3 linked regions of the Arabidopsis thaliana genome follow. The protein of the gene in region 1 interacts with the protein of each later gene in a pairwise test. Each region holds a gene or a part of one and is shown on either strand. Other genes may lie near its edges.

What was found.
Region 2: the proteins of AT5G43620 (region 1) and CSTF77 interact in a two-hybrid assay, tested with the Arabidopsis thaliana proteins (one study listed by BioGRID).
Region 3: the proteins of AT5G43620 (region 1) and PCFS4 interact in a two-hybrid assay, tested with the Arabidopsis thaliana proteins (one study listed by BioGRID).

The regions. Positions count from the first base shown.
Region 1 is NC_003076.8:17,520,483-17,524,528, forward strand, and holds AT5G43620 (Pre-mRNA cleavage complex II), read left to right. Parts: upstream 1-2,003; 5' UTR 2,004-2,170; coding exon 2,171-3,403; 3' UTR 3,404-3,521; downstream 3,522-4,046. Other genes in the region: SUC6 (sucrose-proton symporter 6), read left to right, coding at 1-7, 357-526.
Region 2 is NC_003070.9:6,110,502-6,118,390, reverse strand, and holds the start of CSTF77 (Tetratricopeptide repeat (TPR)-like superfamily protein), read left to right. Parts: upstream 1-1,773; 5' UTR 1,774-2,119; coding exon 2,120-2,173; intron 2,174-2,277; coding exon 2,278-2,340; intron 2,341-2,425; coding exon 2,426-2,535; intron 2,536-2,674; coding exon 2,675-2,775; intron 2,776-3,076; coding exon 3,077-3,138; intron 3,139-3,215; coding exon 3,216-3,356; intron 3,357-3,471; coding exon 3,472-3,600; intron 3,601-3,830; coding exon 3,831-3,877; intron 3,878-4,248; coding exon 4,249-4,312; intron 4,313-4,414; coding exon 4,415-4,535; intron 4,536-4,732; coding exon 4,733-4,791; intron 4,792-4,877; coding exon 4,878-4,940; intron 4,941-5,082; coding exon 5,083-5,223; intron 5,224-5,629; coding exon 5,630-5,694; intron 5,695-5,873; coding exon 5,874-5,970; intron 5,971-6,362; coding exon 6,363-6,422; intron 6,423-6,812; coding exon 6,813-6,965; intron 6,966-7,060; coding exon 7,061-7,127; intron 7,128-7,214; coding exon 7,215-7,292; intron 7,293-7,380; and 4 more. UniProt on the Arabidopsis thaliana protein: One of the multiple factors required for polyadenylation and 3'-end cleavage of pre-mRNAs. Required for the targeted 3' processing of antisense transcripts that triggers transcriptional silencing of the corresponding sense gene.
Region 3 is NC_003075.7:2,470,267-2,476,581, reverse strand, and holds PCFS4 (PCF11P-similar protein 4), read right to left. Parts: upstream 4,717-6,315; 5' UTR 4,500-4,716; coding exon 4,167-4,499; intron 4,005-4,166; coding exon 3,903-4,004; intron 3,814-3,902; coding exon 3,574-3,813; intron 3,118-3,573; coding exon 1,927-3,117; intron 1,846-1,926; coding exon 1,330-1,845; intron 1,210-1,329; coding exon 1,165-1,209; 3' UTR 557-1,164; downstream 1-556.

The sequences.
Region 1 (4,046 bases):
GGTCAAGGTATTTTTACCTCTCTTTTATAAATATTATTTAAATCTTCTGTAAAATACTAATTAAATGTGTGAATACAAAAAGCTAAATTAAATCAGAGATCGGTTTCCAATTATCTCTACTTTACGTTTGAAGATTACAATTTTTTTATTACGTTTTTATTATTTATAACGTTGTAAATTTATGGTGATATCTGTTATCTACTAACTTAATTAGATTGATTAATTGATATTCTTACGGATTTGGTTTTCGTTAACCATAAGGAATTTGCTATATCAATAGAAAACAGTAATCGTTTTGTGTAACATAAATATTAAAGTGTCAAATTAAGGATGTGTTCTTTTTGTTGTCATCGCAGGACTCTCTCTAGGCGTTTTAAACATGACAATAGTGATACCACAAATGGTTGTATCATTTGGAGTTGGTCCTATTGATGCGTTATTTGGAGGTGGGAATTTACCAGGATTTGTGGTTGGAGCTATTGCAGCGGCAATCAGCAGTGTTGTGGCATTTTCCGTTTTACCATAATTTTTTTTGCGTTTTATTTGGTATATATGGACATGTTTAATATTATTGTAGCACTAGATAAGGACCCATACATGTATACTTGAAATTAATTTAAATTTCTCCTGTTAAATTACTGAAATTAATTTAAAATTTATGGCAGTTCTTACAAATAACACAAAAAATAAGTTAATTCCAAATTTAGCAAATCATCTCCAAAGTTCCAAAGTAACACAAATTAAATACATAAAACTTTTTTTTTTAACTTTATGGATGAATTAGGAAAATGTCGCCTAAAGATAAAAAAACAATTCTCTTGAAAAAAAAATATTCTTATATACCACGGTTTAAAACATTTTGTTCCAAATTGACTCTTAATTCCCACAAATTTTCTTTCTCTGATGGTAGATTATATGAGTCACAAAATTATCATTATTCGGTAGTAACTATTATTTTCTTTGTTTCTTATTAATTAATTTTTTAGAAAAAAAAGTTTGTTTCATGAAGCAATTTTTTAGGTTTTCTATACACTATTTATTAGTTATTATTGATGAATTTTAAACTTCAAGACAAATAATTAAATATCAGTAGTTTAAAATTATATAAAAATGTAAATCACAAAAGTTAATACATTTATAATCAATTTTAACATGTTTTTTTTAATCTATGTATTTTTTTCTAAAAAATGAATAATTAAAACATGACTAAATTTTGGCGACTTTCTATATCGTTTTGGCTAGTTTAATTATTTTATATTTTAATTATTTACAAAGATTGATATTACTGTCTTCTTTTCTTTTCTATTTTTGAACTATATATCACTCGTAAAAACTTCATCTTACACAAAAAAAGAAAAAAAGGTGATACATACGAATCTAAAGACCTGACTGCTTGAGAATACCTCTCTTCCTGGCATCAAAGGGATTGAAAAGAATGAAAATTGCGCTGACCAACGTATAAGCAGGATTGTTAAATTTACTGCACTAGGTTATTAAAAGGCCATACCTCTTCTTCAGATACTTTGTTTAACCACTCGTCTTGCTGATTCCATTTGCGTACAATAACCTTGTTTAGTCAACAAAAGATAGTGAATATATATTCACTTACGGTTTATACAGTTCCATGGTGCTACTAACAGGATATCACAGAGACCAGAGACCAGAACATTACTAAATGACATTTGAGGAATTTGATAAAAGTTCAAATTCGATAAAAGCTTTAAACTTTGAAGAAGTAGTTAACAAACCTGAGTATCGATTCCAACAAGCGTATGCTGAGGAACATCGAGAAAGAGAAGCGTAGCTCCATGCTTTACAAGCTCTAGTGCCTTCTTAGAATCCATAGCTTCCTTCTTCAAAATAGAGCGGAACAACGACTATATTCCAGAAGCCCCATTAAACAGGCCCATTAAAATATTGGGCCTATAAAGCGTGGCCCAAAACATGTGACAACGCGCGATTCACGCGGTTTACTTTATCAACCGACATAATCACATAAACGTTTATTTATAGAGAAACCTATCTTCCTGCCTCTTCAGATTCGTTTTATTTTTCAATCGTTTCAATTTCTAAAATTCTCAACGCGATCACCCCAATCCAAATTTAGGGTTTCTTTTGTCTTTCTGCGATCGATCTCTGGTAACTCATAACTTGTTGTTGAATCGCGAAGATGGCATCAAACGGATCCTTCTCTGCTCAGAGAAACGCAAACGCTGGAACAACGATGAAGAGACGAAACGACAATCGCGGTTACGGTGGCGGAATCGGATGTTATCAAGAGGAGAGGAACCGTTACGCGCCGCCGCAAAAACGTTTCAGATCGCAACTGCAACAGCAATTCCGATCTGGTCATAATCCTCTGTATCATTATGGTAGTAATACTAATAATAACGTGTCTAGGGTTTCTTCTCAGTCATATAACAATTACGGTGTTGATGTGATTGCTTCTAATTCAAGTTTTGCTTTACCTAACAATGATTCTAACACCAACAATTATCAGAAACCCTTTGTTGTTTATGGAAACCCTAATCCCCAAATTGTTCCTCTTCCATTACCTTATCGTAAGCTTGATCCTTTAGATTCGTTGCCTCAATGGGTTCCAAATTCAACTCCGAATTATCCTGTTAGGTCATCGAATTTTGTACCAAACACACCTGATTTTACGAATGTTCAAAATCCGATGAATCATTCGAACATGGTTTCAGTTGTGTCTCAATCGATGCATCAACCAATTGTTTTAAGCAAAGAATTGACTGATTTGCTTAGTCTTCTTAACAATGAGAAAGAGAAGAAAACTTCAGAAGCAAGTAATAATGATTCATTGCCTGTTGGATTAAGCTTTGACAATCCATCATCGCTTAATGTTCGACATGAATCTGTGATTAAGTCTCTGTATTCTGATATGCCGAGGCAATGTACTTCGTGTGGGGTGAGATTCAAATGTCAAGAAGAGCATAGTAAACATATGGATTGGCACGTAAGGAAGAACAGGTCGGTGAAAACCACTACAAGACTTGGTCAGCAACCGAAGAAATCGAGGGGATGGTTAGCGAGTGCATCTTTATGGCTTTGTGCACCAACGGGAGGAGGGACCGTAGAAGTAGCATCTTTTGGAGGAGGAGAAATGCAGAAGAAGAATGAAAAGGATCAAGTACAAAAACAACACATGGTGCCTGCGGATGAAGATCAGAAGAATTGCGCGTTATGCGTAGAGCCGTTTGAAGAGTTCTTTAGCCATGAAGCTGATGACTGGATGTACAAAGATGCAGTCTACTTAACCAAGAATGGTCGTATAGTTCATGTTAAGTGTATGCCTGAACCCCGACCTGCTAAGGATTTGAGAGAGCCGTCGAGGGTAATGTCTGTTACAGTTCCATCGGTTGCGAAAGCTATACTCTGCTGATTGAGATTTTTTATATCTCTGTTTTAGTCATTCGTTTTTTTAAAAGTAAATGTACATTACATTAATCAAGATGTAACACAAATACAGTTCTATCAATTGAATCTCCTATTTTACTCTTATCACCTCTTTACTTTTAATCCGGAGTTATAGAGTCTGTTTTATTGTAATCCAGAATTATAGTATAGATTGTTCCGGATTAACCAGTGAAATCTCACTTGATTCCCGGTTTACATAAACCAGACTCTCTATACCAATAAACCGAAACAAGGAAACCAATTCCTTTGTGTAACTCTCTATATTTATTCTCATTCTAATGAGATAACACATTCACAATCTATAAGTATAATGATGATGTCTGATCTTCCGGTGGCTTTGGTAGAAGAGATACTCTCTAGGGTTCCATTAACATCTCTAAGCGCGGTGCGATCTACTTGTAAAACGTGGAACGCTGTAGGATTAACATCTCTGTAGACTTATATTGGTATATGGTTTATGCGTAAGATTTCTCTTTTAAACCTTTTAAAAGAAGAATCTTTTATTTTGTTAGGTAACCCCTCGTCGGCCCTTTAAGTTTCTTACACCACGTGATCGGTTATCCTATGTATATACTACGTTCGTGAATGACCTATTGGGTATCCAATGC
Region 2 (7,889 bases), on another chromosome or scaffold:
CCAACATTTCTCTGGATGGGTGAAATAAGCATAATTACTAATTTAGAACAAAGATATTTAATATACGATAAAAAAAACTACTACCTATGTTCCTAAATCCTAACAGAACGATGTTTTAGTTTTTTCGCACATGAATAAGTAATCTTACTTTTTTGCTAAGTTTTTGTAAATTTAATAATATTAATTATGTTTTTCTCTTTCTATATTGATAACATATGAAAGTAATAATGATGTTGAAACAAAACATTAATCAATTATGAAACAAAAAATTCCAAAATATCAATCTATTAGACTAAGAGGCAATACTTAATAGGGGACAAAAATCTGGTCTTAAAGTGTGCTACAAAATTTTCATGCACACGAATAAAAAAAATTGTATTACCAAATTAAAATGTAAACCCATGCATACTTTACGTACATACAGTATATTTTTTTTGCTAAGAATGTAAATATTTCATTAAAAATGAAAACAATTTAGGTTTACAATCCAAAGATTATACTCCTAAAGAAATGGTCCCATGACAAAAAAAGCAAAAAACATGGAAGCATAGATCTTAGAAACATTTTCAGTCCATCCACTCAAACATAAGCACAAATGCTAATGGAGTAAGACGAAGTGATGACGATTTTGAAGTTCTTCCCGGCTCTGATGCTTGAGACGAAGGGCGAATGCAAATTGAAGAGCCGAATTACCAAGATACAAGACACTAGAAGCCTTTCACAGGAGGTCCGAGACTGTGCCGTCAACGGCCCGTCAAAGGATTCCATGAGCTCTCACAGAACGAAACCCCACAAACCAAAGAATGTGAACAATGTGAGCTCACCCTACCAAGTTCCTTCCCGAAGTCGCATAGTACAGAGCTAGATTTTTGAGAGCTAGATTTTTCAACTCAACGCCACACTGAACACCAATAGTCTTACTAACTCCTCTAGTGCCTAGTGAAAAAGCAACCATAGCAAAACGCATTGCAACGCAAGAACTACGACTCTAGGCAACATCAATGGCAAGACACAACAAAACCAGGGCTTATTAGCAAATACAGTATACTATGTATTCGCCCTATATAACAAATATATTAGTTAGGATTCAAACTATAATAAATTACCTATACTATGTATAATAACTATAACATTCAAATGAAATTTCTTCATCTACGTCATTTAAATTAATTTAGATATGATGTTCATTTCCATAATTATCTATTAACGTTGAGTATAAAGTATTAGGCTCATATCTCTAAAGTTATCATTGTATCGACTTTAGAGCTAGAAACTTAAATTGATTTGATTTTGGAAATTGATGAATTAATTAATATCTTATATTACATGTCTATTTCATTGAAATATATCTTCTTATGATTAATTTCTTATTTTACATGTATCTTTATAAGTGTTAAAAGTGAATTCACGAATAAAAGCTATATAATGCTTACTAAAGTGTATATATACAAGCATTATTAGTTTAGTACATGTGGTACGAAAAATGGAGAGTAATTCATGATGTTTCCAAAGAACCTAGGCCAAAATAGATTTCAATCCCGCCAAAGATCTATCAGACTTCAAATTCGAATACACCAACTCTCTTGAACCTAACTTAACGGCTTAACGTTTTATGTACTTAGGAAATTAGTGAAGGAAAAAAAAAAAGAGAGAAATATTAGAAATCGAAAAGATATTGTATGTACCGTAATCGGTCCAACTTACTTTTAATGGGCCAAAAATCTAGGCCCGTAATATTTTTAATATAAGTTTAGTAGAATCCACGTGGACAGTAGAACCGCGGAAAATATTCGTTTCCTGAAGACGGACCGGTTGCTTTGAGTTTCCCCGTTCGACAATAGGGTATCACCGACCACCGTGTTTCGGGCAGACTCGTCGGAGGAGTGTTAAAATTGTTGAATCTCAGATTAGGGTTTACTTCTATGGTAAACTTCTGAAGGTCTGTCTGTTTTCCTGATCTGAGGTCCTTCTAGGGATTTTTTTTTATGGCGTTGAAGCAGCAGAAGCTTTAGCTAGACTTGTCGGAAGATTGTGACACTTATTGAATCTCAGATTAGGGTCTACTTATATTACCATTGAGTGGAATATTTGAAAGACTGTTCTTCCGAAGGTGAAATTCATGGCTGATAAGTACATCGTCGAGGAAGCAGAGGCTTTGGCCAAGAGAGCTTTGGTACAATTCTTTCCCCAGCTATATACTTGTCTGACTTCTCGTACTCTTTCATAAAGTTTAGATTTTTACTTGTTGGGTTTCGTAAAATTGTGTCCTTTCCTCAGCATTCACCAATTGCACAGGCGACGCCGATCTACGAGCAGCTTTTGTCACTTTATCCCACTTCTGTAAGTTTCCCATGACTTTGCTTCCACGTATTTTAAGAGTTTCCTGATGTTTTTGGTTAATTGTGAGCTCCTTTGTACTCTGTAGGCGAGATTTTGGAAGCAATATGTGGAGGCACAGATGGCTGTAAACAATGATGATGCTACCAAACAGATATTTAGTCGTTGTTTGTTGACCTGCCTTCAAGTTCCTCTTTGGTAATGCCATGTTACCCTTTATTAGTCGTTGATAAGAGTCAATTTAACATCTTTTCGTCTCATTGTTGGGTTTCTTGCTCAGCTGCAATGCAAGTCTTGCCATCTCCTTGGATATAATTCTAACATCTTATTCTCTCAGGCAATGTTACATTCGGTTCATCAGAAAGGTCTACGACAAGAAGGGAGCAGAGGGTCAAGAGGAGACCACAAAGGCTTTTGAGTTTATGCTTAACTATATTGGTATTGCTTCTCTTCCGCAGTTTTGGCTCTATTTTGTTTGTTTTTCATTTCAATCATGTCTCATACATAGAGGGAATTTTTTCCGTTTTGTGAGTAATGAATACAGTTATGTTTAGTAAACAATATGATTTGATCAATTTTATGCTTAATATAGTTGCTAATGATAACTATTCATCAGCAATAGCAAGCACATAGTTACGCTTCGTGTCTATGTAGACCTCTAGTTTCCCTTTATCATGCCAACACATAACACAACTTGGGCCTTACAGATGGTTGTTTATTTCGATTTATGAATCTCCAGGGACAGACATCGCATCAGGGCCTATATGGACTGAGTACATTGCCTTTCTAAAATCTCTTCCGGTTCGTTATATCACTCTAACTTTGTCCTTGATACTAATAATTTGTTATTGCAGAGAAACTAATAGATTCCCATGCAGGCTCTTAACCTCAACGAAGATTTGCATCGGAAGACTGCTCTTCGAAAAGTGTATCATAGAGCTATATTAACTCCGACCCACCACGTTGAACAACTTTGGAAAGATTATGAAAACTTCGAAAATACTGTTAACCGTCAATTGGTAAACTTCTAAGAAATTAAAATTATGTGGCTTCTTATTTTCATGAAAAGAAGCAGGTACGAACTTCATTCTCTTGGCTTTGTTGATGGATAATCTAATCTAATCATGTGAGCAGGCAAAAGGACTTGTAAATGAGTATCAACCAAAATTTAACAGTGCCAGGGCTGTATATAGGGAGCGCAAGAAGTACATTGAAGAAATTGATTGGAACATGCTTGCTGTCCCACCAACAGGAACTTCCAAGGTAAAGAATTTATCATCCATTGCTTCTTTTTGGAACTGCTGAGTGCTGAATGTACAATTATTTTCTTATCTTTTTGAGTTCGATAAGATTGGATATATTGACTCTTAAACTGCCTAAAAGACATTATGAGCATAATTCACGTCATGAGATCATGTTATTAAGATAGGAAATACATATTGAGTATCATCTGCTTACTTTGCTACTTTACACCGTCTTATGGTTTTTTGCAGGAAGAAACCCAGTGGGTGGCCTGGAAAAAGTTCTTGTCCTTTGAAAAGTAAATCCCCAATTATCATATACAGTTTTTAATTTTAATATACATTCCATTCAGTGATGATGTGTGTTTTACGTATCTCCTTAGCCATTGTTTCTCTACCATAGCTAGATTTTAATATATCGCAACAGTTAATTGGTCCCTTGGTAGATTTTTTTGATTTTTTCGGTTTACGCCTAATGGTAAGACTTTTATATCTTGTTCCGTCTCTGTGTTTTGCCGATTAAGATTTATGATATTAACTAGAGAGCTGGAATAAATTACTATCCAGTTATGTCTCCAACAAGTGATGATGAGGTCTTATGCATAGAATTGTTTAACGAGTCCTTCTAAATATAACAAACTTCTGTATCTAATACAATTGTAAATTTCAGAGGAAACCCTCAAAGGATTGACACGGCCTCGTCAACTAAGCGGATTATATATGCCTATGAACAGGTATGCGAAGAGTCAGTGAGATGCTCTTGCTGAAATTTTGGAGGACTAATCTCCGAAATGTGTTCATTTCTGAATTGACTGACTATTACTCTGGTTTTACAGTGTCTGATGTGTTTATATCACTATCCCGATGTATGGTATGACTATGCTGAGTGGCACGTAAAATCTGGTTCCACGGATGCTGCAATCAAAGTATTTCAGCGAGCTCTTAAAGCCATTCCTGGTAAAAATCTAATCTATCCTTTTTTCTTTATGTCTATGAACTAGTTGCTTTATGAAGGATCAACTATTACTCTTTGCTTACCTGCTGGCTTACTGTTTTAATCTTATCTTCTATCTACTCTTAAGAAGTCTATTTTCTCTCTGCGACTCTTTTATATTTTTTACTAAGTGTCTACATTTCCCACTCTCGTATGTCAGATTCAGAGATGTTGAAATATGCTTTTGCTGAGATGGAGGAATCTCGTGGAGCAATTCAGGTTTTTATTTCTTGCTGCTGGCTTCTTGTAATTTAGCTTTATTAGTTGTCCGCATACTCGTTGCTTATAGTTGTATGATTTTGCAGTCAGCGAAGAAATTATATGAAAACATTTTGGGGGCTAGCACAAACTCTTTGGCACATATACAAGTAAGTACGCTCAAGTTTCAAAATTTAGGACTTGCGAAGATTGGCATAAACAGCATATCTTTCACTTTGAAATTGTTTCTTTTCTCTGAAAACATTCTCATATGATATATACTTATATATATATATATATATTCTTTCGCAGTACCTTCGTTTTCTCCGGAGGGCTGAGGGTGTTGAAGCTGCTCGCAAGTACTTTTTAGATGCTAGAAAATCTCCTAGCTGCACATATCATGTGTATATTGCTTTTGCTACCATGGCCTTTTGTATTGACAAGGAACCAAAGGTGTATTTTCTTACCCACTATGTGGTGGTCTATATGCTATTTAGAACTGCTTTTGTCTTGTGAAGGAGGTAGTGGTCGTTCAGTCAAGTTCAGAACCCACTCGTCTTATTAGTCTCTTAGTTGTTTAAGTTAACCAGGACCCATGAGACTTTTGTGATAATAAAGTCAAAATGATTTGAATATTGGGGTGTTTTGGCTATTGATGCACTTAAACTCTTCATTTGTTTGCAAAATACATGTACGTTACTTTTATGCCTCGTACATTCCTCTTTGTGCCTTCATTTGTTCGATTCTTTAACAAAGAATTAACATGTTCTTGCAAGACATATATACTAATGTAAACCATCTGACTTCAATTTCTATTCAGTTTCACAATAAAAATCCTTATGTTTGTATTTTTATGCAGGTTGCACATAATATCTTTGAAGAGGGGTTGAAACTCTATATGAGTGAACCTGTTTACATCCTTAAGTAAGTGTCACTGTAGCTTTACTTAGCGTTCCATTTTCTTAAGATACTTGGAAGCTCTTCTTTATTGAAGAAATATTGAGACTTTAAGACCTTCTCAGATAAAATATCCTCAAACTTGTTTCTCTCCCAAACCTTCCTAAGACAGAATTTTAACCATCTGGTTTTGCTTTGCAATCTAGGTATGCAGATTTCTTGACTAGATTGAATGATGATAGAAATATCAGAGCTCTATTTGAGCGGGCATTAAGCACGTTACCAGTTGAAGACTCTGCTGAGGTACGCTGATAGTGATATATTGTTTCTCAAAGCTGTTAAAGTATGCAGATTTTGTTCTTAAGCATGAAAAGAGACAACAAGGAAAATTACTAACCTGCTAATGAAAATAACCAAACCGAGCACCTAATTTGATTATAGCATTTCTGAATGCTTAAATATGATAATGGTTTAGCAATTGGAGGTGTAATCTTGATGCACATCTGAGCCTTATGAACAGTGGTGGGGATAGTAGACATTTAAAACTGAACTGAAAGAGTCCAATATTATTGTGGTTCACATGTAATACTGTTTAAAATGCTAGAACAATAAAGAAGACGACTGGTGTCAATGGGTTACGCCGTTATGCTAATTGATTTCTAGGATTAACTTTTTTCTTGCTCCATGTTTTGTAGGTCTGGAAAAGATTCATTCAGTTTGAGCAAACATATGGAGATCTTGCTAGTATTCTAAAGGTATTTTAACTCATTGAATGTTGTCAACGTATACGAGGAAAGCTACTATTATTAGCTTCCTGTGTTTTGTTAGCATTTTTTGTAGTTGTTTTTCGGTTGACTCCATTATGATGATAAGTTTGTTGAAGGGTCCAAACATTTATATCTATTCCATCTTACTGGCTTTTAGTTGCATGGAAGATCTAAAAATGCTGACACGTTCAACTTATTGCTAGAATAGACTATGTCAGACTCGCACCTCATAAAAGAGACATTTGATCAACGATGAAATTTACTGAAATCAGATCCACGATACATCCAGTATCAAGTGTGGCTGTTTGATGGAGTAGTCTGCTTATCTTCTTAGTTTTTTGCTCATAAATTTTCTTTACTATGACAACCTTGTTGTAGGTTGAGCAGAGAATGAAAGAAGCACTTTCTGGAAAAGGGGAAGAGGGGTCTTCTCCTCCAGAGAGTTCACTTCAAGATGTTGTTTCTCGGTACAGTTACATGGATCTTTGGCCATGCACTTCTAACGACCTTGATCATTTAGCCAGACAAGAGGTATTTTCCATGCAACATATCGCAATTAGCTCAAATAGCTACTAATGATACATCTAGTAAGTACTAATTCTAACCGATCAATGTGTTCACTATAGTTGCTTGTGAAGAATCTGAATAAGAAAGCAGGGAAAACAAATCTACCTCATGTTCCTGCGGCTATAGGTCTGTTCTTTTTAATTTTCTGGTGTGATGGATTATGTTAAACTTTGGTGATGACTGAAGTAAATAAACCGCCTTCTGGGCTGACAGGTAGTGTAGCTTCTTCGTCAAAAGTTGTTTATCCAGATACATCTCAGATGGTTGTTCAAGACCCGACAAAGAAATCAGGTATCTGATTTGCACTTTGCCGCAATATTTGGCTGCACGATGAATGGAATTGTTAACTTATTCTGAACCACTCATGATTTGACTGTAGAGTTTGCTAGTTCTGCAAACCCAGTGGCAGCTTCTGCTTCGAACACCTTCCCAAGTACTGTGACTGCAACTGCAACTCATGGATCAGCCAGCACATTTGACGAAATACCAAAGACTACTCCACCTGCATTGGTAGCATTTTTAGCTAACTTGCCTATTGTGGACGGTAAATCTCTTAAAAACCAACTCCAAGTTGTATCTGAACTGAGCACCTGAATAAGTGTCCACTAACCAACTAGTTTATCATTATCTTCTCAATTCGCAGGTCCAACACCCAATGTGGATGTTGTTCTGTCGATATGTTTGCAGAGCGACTTTCCAACAGGTCAAACTGTAAAGCAGAGTTTTGCTGCTAAAGGCAATCCTCCAAGTCAAAACGATCCCTCGGGTCCAACCCGCGGTGTGTCTCAAAGATTACCAAGAGACAGAAGAGCTACAAAGAGAAAAGATTCAGACAGTAAGTTACATATGCTTATAGTTTATGTTCAAGTATATATATTTTATGGCTCA
Region 3 (6,315 bases), on another chromosome or scaffold:
ACAGATATGGAGTTAAAATCTTTGTTATTAGTACACTACTAGTTTCTGTTAGCTCTCTCTTATCCCATTCAACCAACGGTCCAATTTTCTAACAAAGGCAAAATAAAAGGGCAATGATGTGTGTTCTTAACCTGATCTTTTGTTCTAGCTTAGTTCATATTGCATATTGCAAGCTGTTTTCTTATATTCATACTATAATAGACTATTTTCACAATGTATATAACAAACATGAATTTTACTCCAGCCATTACATCTATTGATCATCACATACTCTTGTTTAGAGACTAACGGTTGAGACAAAGCCAGATTTGAACTGAGTTTGCTCTGCAGTCCTATAAGGTACTACCAGAACTAAATCATAACCTTTAAATCTTTATAATTCCATATTTCAAATGTAACAGTCATGAAAAAACTCTAGTTTGATCGAGCAAAAAGCCAAGTAAGTTCGAAAGCTTTAACTATCGTTCAATCTACTTCGACATAAATCCGGCTCTGTATCATGTAGGTATGAAGATACAAGTAGTGGAAATTTCAAAAGCAAAAGGTTCAGATAGAAGAAAAGTAAAACTTGTTTCATTATAGACAAAGTCAAGAGAACAAATACGCTTAAAGAGAGTTATGTTAACTAACATTTTTAGCTAACAGCCTAACATAGAAAGGTAAAACTCAGACAGGGAAAGCTCTAAAGAAGAAACCTGAAACTGGTTCTCTTAGCAACAGCATCTATGAGATCCATTCATCATAAGAAATCTGTTCACATTCGAATATCAGTCTTCTCGGGCTTTCCCTGCAATATCTAAAGATGAAAAAGAAAAAGACAATCCGAAACAGAGACATTGTATTCCATTTACATGGGGAAACTACTGTTGCGACATCTGATTTTACTACTACAAGCACCCCAGGTTAGGTGTAGCAGAGAATGCAGAACAGTTACACGATATCCATGTCCTAAGGCACAACAGGAATTTAGAGGCATAAAGAATGATAATATATGTGGGTGTAAACCTCTTTTTTTCAATGGTACAGTTTTAGGAGAAAGAAGACTCTCTCCATCATTTCTCTTCATTGGTGGTATTCTGTGACTAAGTGCATATAGATGATGAAGAAATAAGAATGTAACTTAAATGTAGTCAAGAAAAAGACCTAAAATTCGGTCTAAGGGATCTAACTCCGCATCTTTTTCCTCTGACTACCCTCTTCCATATCACCCTGAAAAAGCCATGATCGGGAAATCAAGAGGTCGTCACTGGATAAATGTCTAGCAGCGAAAATGAAAATGGATTCAACTAGACACAAATGAAGCTAATGAAAATGCATGGAATGGCTTACCCCATTGGACTCTGGCCTGCACTTTGCATGCACTATAGGACCTAACTGAGACTTGTCCATATCTGTTGTTGATTCTTCAGGAGCATTCATGTATACCGCACCTTTGTACATCCATTCCTCGGTTTCATCACTATAAAAGTCTTCAAATGGCTCACCACATAATGCACATGAAGTTTGGTCTTCATCTGCAGGAACTGCCATATCTTCGTCATCCTTCTTTTCTGTTGTTGGCTCCGTGGGCAAGAACCCTGGTACTGCTTCAGCTCCAAGTGCTTCTGCACCACTGAGCCACATGCTAGCACTTACAAACCATTTCCGAGAAGGGTTCTGCTTATGGTTCTTGGACATCCTGTTCTTGGTTACATGCCAATCCATGTGCTTACTGTGCTCTTCTTGGCACTTGAAGCGTAGACCACAGGTTGTGCATTGCCTCGGGAGATCCCCATATAAAGCACTGATTGCAGACTCATTACGTATCTTGAGCATGTCTGCATCAAACTCCAACCCCAATGGTCCCTGAATATATAAACCAACAATTCAAGATAAAGCAATAACTAAGAACAAACCGACTCTCAAGGACATGATTTGAATAATTACCTGACCAGCAGGCTGATTGTTCAATGAGATCAAACCTTGAGCCATGAGAGAGCCAATCAGACCAGAGAATGCGCCACCTGGTGGTTGATTAGAGGCTCCTATCTGAGATAAAACTCCTGAAGAAAGAGGATGCATGGCTTCCCCACCTTGGATTGATAAAGATGGTCTAATGGTTGACCCATGTGGAGGGTACCCATGACTTACGTGGGTTAACAACGATTGCATTGGCCTTGGAGCCATAGCAGATGAGGATGGCAAATAATTAACTAGCATCTGATTCTGTTGAGTCATATCATTAAGATGACTCTGAGAGACCTGGTTTTCGGGCCTATATAAAGGCTTACCTTGCAAGCGATTTGACATCGCATTACCGGGATTTGCCAAATGATGCAAATGAGCAGAAGGTACAGGGAGAGAGTTGGGTCCTCTAGCACTCAAATGGGGCCATGTCCCATCAGGAAGAGCCCGGCCAAAACGTGAGTTAACATCTTGAATGCTATCAAATGGAGGAGCCCCGAATTCACTGTTTGATGAAACTAACCCTACAGATGAAGCCAATACTTTCAAGTCTTTTCCTGCTCTTGTATCAACACGGTTGGATGTATGTGGATAATTTTGTGACAAACTCCAATTTTCTCGTAGCTGATGACTTACACCATTCTTAATGTCAGAATCTAAATGAAAATCACTTGTGTTTCCTACTCTGGGTCTTGCCCTTACACTTCCTAATGCTGGTACAGATGATCGCAAAAATTCACCAGCTCTGCTACGATCTAGGGTAGGGCTCATATCTTCCCAATCAAACTCTTCTTCCTCAGTGTTCTGCCATGGTGTAACCATCTTACTGTGCATGCCATTCATATCGCGAATTGGTTTATTGATCGTTACGTGTTTGCTGGTGTCAACTCCATATGCATCTATCAACGCTCTAGGTCTTTCGTGATCATTTCCTTGGCCTAAGTTTTCCTTTCTTCGCCATTCCATATGTTCATCATCTCTGCTAGTAGCTCGACCCATTCCATAGTTAAAAGCTTGATTAGAAGGATTAGCTCCATCATTAGACCTCCTGGTAAAACCATCTGGTGTACTAGACAGTGAAGATGGGCTCTCTAACTGATCTTCGAAATCATTATACCCACCGAGTGAATTTTGGCCATAAACTCTTGCACTGGAATTAATTCCTCTCAAATTCTGCATGTCAAGCAAGAGCAATTAAGGAAATATGCATCTCAGGTATAGTCACTCTTTGAAAAAAAACATATAAAAACAGTTCCAAACGACACATGATGCATAAACAGTGATCTACTGTACTATAACCAAAAAAAAACCCTCTACATGTGCTAACAAGATCATTTCTAATGTACCAGAGTCCCAGTGACCTACTCATCATGTATAACTGAGAGAGGCCATAACAACAACTCCCTTCCAGTCAAGATTGATTACTTGAAGAATGTAAACATCTATCTCGTCTAACTAACAAAACTTTAAAGAAATACAATGGATAAGACCACTATGAGGCCAAACTAATCTAATACCCGTTTTACTTAGTACACTTATATAAAATTAACACACCATAGCTTCAAGGTTGCAGATGCACCTAAAAAAAGAATGTCATCTCTGTTCATAATGACAAAGAGAAAGGCTTACATTTTCGGCGGCTGAGGGCTCCAGCCTGCGAAGATATTTTGGATTAACATGTATACCTCTCGTTGGTTGACTAGGCTCAGAAGCCCCTACGGAAGATTGGTTTGCTGCAGATGAAAGTTGCAATTGCATATCAATCTTGCGTAGTACAGGTGGTGGAAAAACACTCGACCAAGTCCCAAACAGGTGACGCATTGACGGATGTAAACTCGGATGTGCTTGCCTATATGCAAGGCAGAAGACCTAAAGCAGAATAGGATCAAAACAGCTCATGGGTATGCTTCAGCCCTATTCAAATCATTTAAGTAAACATCTTCTTGTAGACTGCTCACCTCGGGTAGACGGGATGAGAAATAGCGACCATAATCCCGCCCAATGTTCTTAACAATGCTGTCTAAAAGATACAGAGATGGCAACTTTTGCTCAACAGGAGCCTGCATATATACACCCACAGGTAACTCAGAAGCAGCCATTTCACTAAACCACAAACCAAACACTAATCTCTGACAATCAAAAACCTAATTTTTTTCCCACTTCTACACTTACATACTATACAATAAGGCTAGAAAGTGGAAACAAATAAGAAGAAAGCAAACCTCAAGGATTCGAGTGCAAATAGCATTAGCGATTCCTTCACCATGTTCCCGTTGTTCACCAGCGATAATAGTGAGATCAGTGATAATAGGCTTAGAATTGAAAGTAAGCTCACCCAAAACAACCTCATAAAGCTGAACAATCTCATCCATACTCGGAGGCAAAACCTCTTCACCACCACCGAACTCATCTTCACGCTGATTAAGCAAAGCTTTAAACCGGTCTAACAACGACGGCGGTGGCGGCGGTTTCTGCGGCAACTCAACGGACATACCTTTGCGGCTGGTGCTATTAATCGAAACAAGTCTTGGATTGAGGATTTTCTCTGAGTCCATCCCCAATTCAATAGTGAAGAGTGATAATTAGTGGCAGCATAAAGGCTCTAGGGTTTCTGTTCCACCATGGAAACTCCTCGAATCGCCACCCTTGTGGGGGAAGAGAGAGATAGAGATCGATAACGGAAGTTTTTTTTTTTTTAGTGAAGAGGATTTTTTTTTCTTCTCAATTTTGTATCTCTACTTTATGCAAATCTCATTTTTGTCCCTTTTTTTTTAGAGTTATCAACTACATCCCAATTATTGTTTTTACCCGTTTTGAGTCACACAGATTTTTGACTTTTACTATGACCTCATCAATTAATCACGTTGCAATTCTCTTCTTTCCCTTATTTGAAAAGTTTGATCTTGCCTCTTGGTGACACTAAATTTAGTTTTGAGGAACTATTTCATTTCTTAGCTTATTTATCTATCTTGATAAAGTTTGAATCTATCTTGTTTTGATTCTACTCATGGACTATGAATGATTTTTTTTTTGGTAGACAATTAGATTTTATATTATTTTTGATTTTTGACAGAAATACAGAGATTAGCAAGAAGCGGATTAAAACAATCTACAAAAATAAATACAACATTACAACTCTAATTCATTCAGTTCGCTTTTATGCGTTCAAGGCTAAGTTACGAGTTGAAACACCGATTTTGAACTCGTGAAACTCGGAAATTTGTGTGGTTGTCACATGACCGAAAAAGTGGAATTCTCATGGTAGTTGCCACGAGCATATCTTCGAGAACTTGATTCAAATTGATACAGTTAAAAACACCACCATCAAACCACGTCCTTGTTACGTTTCTTTAAGTTATATTAAAAAAATGTTGGATTAGTTGTATAAAATCCTATAAGGGTTTGAGTTTATTATTACATAATTATAATTATATAGCTTCCTATTTTATAAGTTTAAATTTAATATTTGTTAGTTCCTTTGTTTTTACATTTTAAAATATAAAGTAATTGCTATTTTCAAAAATGTTAATTAATTAGATGCTAAATATGTTAATTATTGATGTGGCAGCTCCCGATTGGTTGTTTTCAAAAATGTTAATTAATTAGATACTAAATATGTTAATTATTTATGTGGCAACTCCCGATTAGTCGTTCTAAATCCTAGGTTATGAATCCACGCTACGCATGGGTCTATTTGTAAAACTTTTTAATATTTTTTTGTGTGAATAAAATTATTATAGAAATTTTTTAAAAGATATGTTTTTATATGTCTACTTGTTGTTAATATTATAAACTCTTTGAATTTTAAAATTACCATGACAATAGTTACAATTTAAATACAAAACTAAAAATAACTTTAATACAACTTTTAGGTTTACAACATTTATCAAAAGAACATTTTTTTGGCTCATGACTCTCTCTTTAGCTTTAGATATTTAGGATCACGACGTCTTTTTATGTATGAAATAAATTGTTTTATGGAAAATAACTTCGACGACTTTCTCATTTTGAAATCCGTAAATTTACTATTCTTTTTTGTTTATCTTCGCTGCATTAGTTAGTATAGCTCGTCTAAAAATAAGATATTATATAGAAGTATATTCATAAGCTTATCTATACTTTACTTTAACAACTCATATTTTCTCACATTCTTTTCAATATGTATATGAATTTCTGTCTTCACAATTTTTTTACAAAGAGCTATCACTCTCCCTATCTTTTTGCAAGCACTCGTTTTATTTGTTTCATTTTTTCTTACAGTGTCTCTTTCCATCCTCTTATGATTTTGTTTAAGCAATATGTGTCATACCTTCTAAACTTTTCACATGTTCCATATTTTTTCTTCGAAAATCTCTTTCTTCTCTAGTTAGT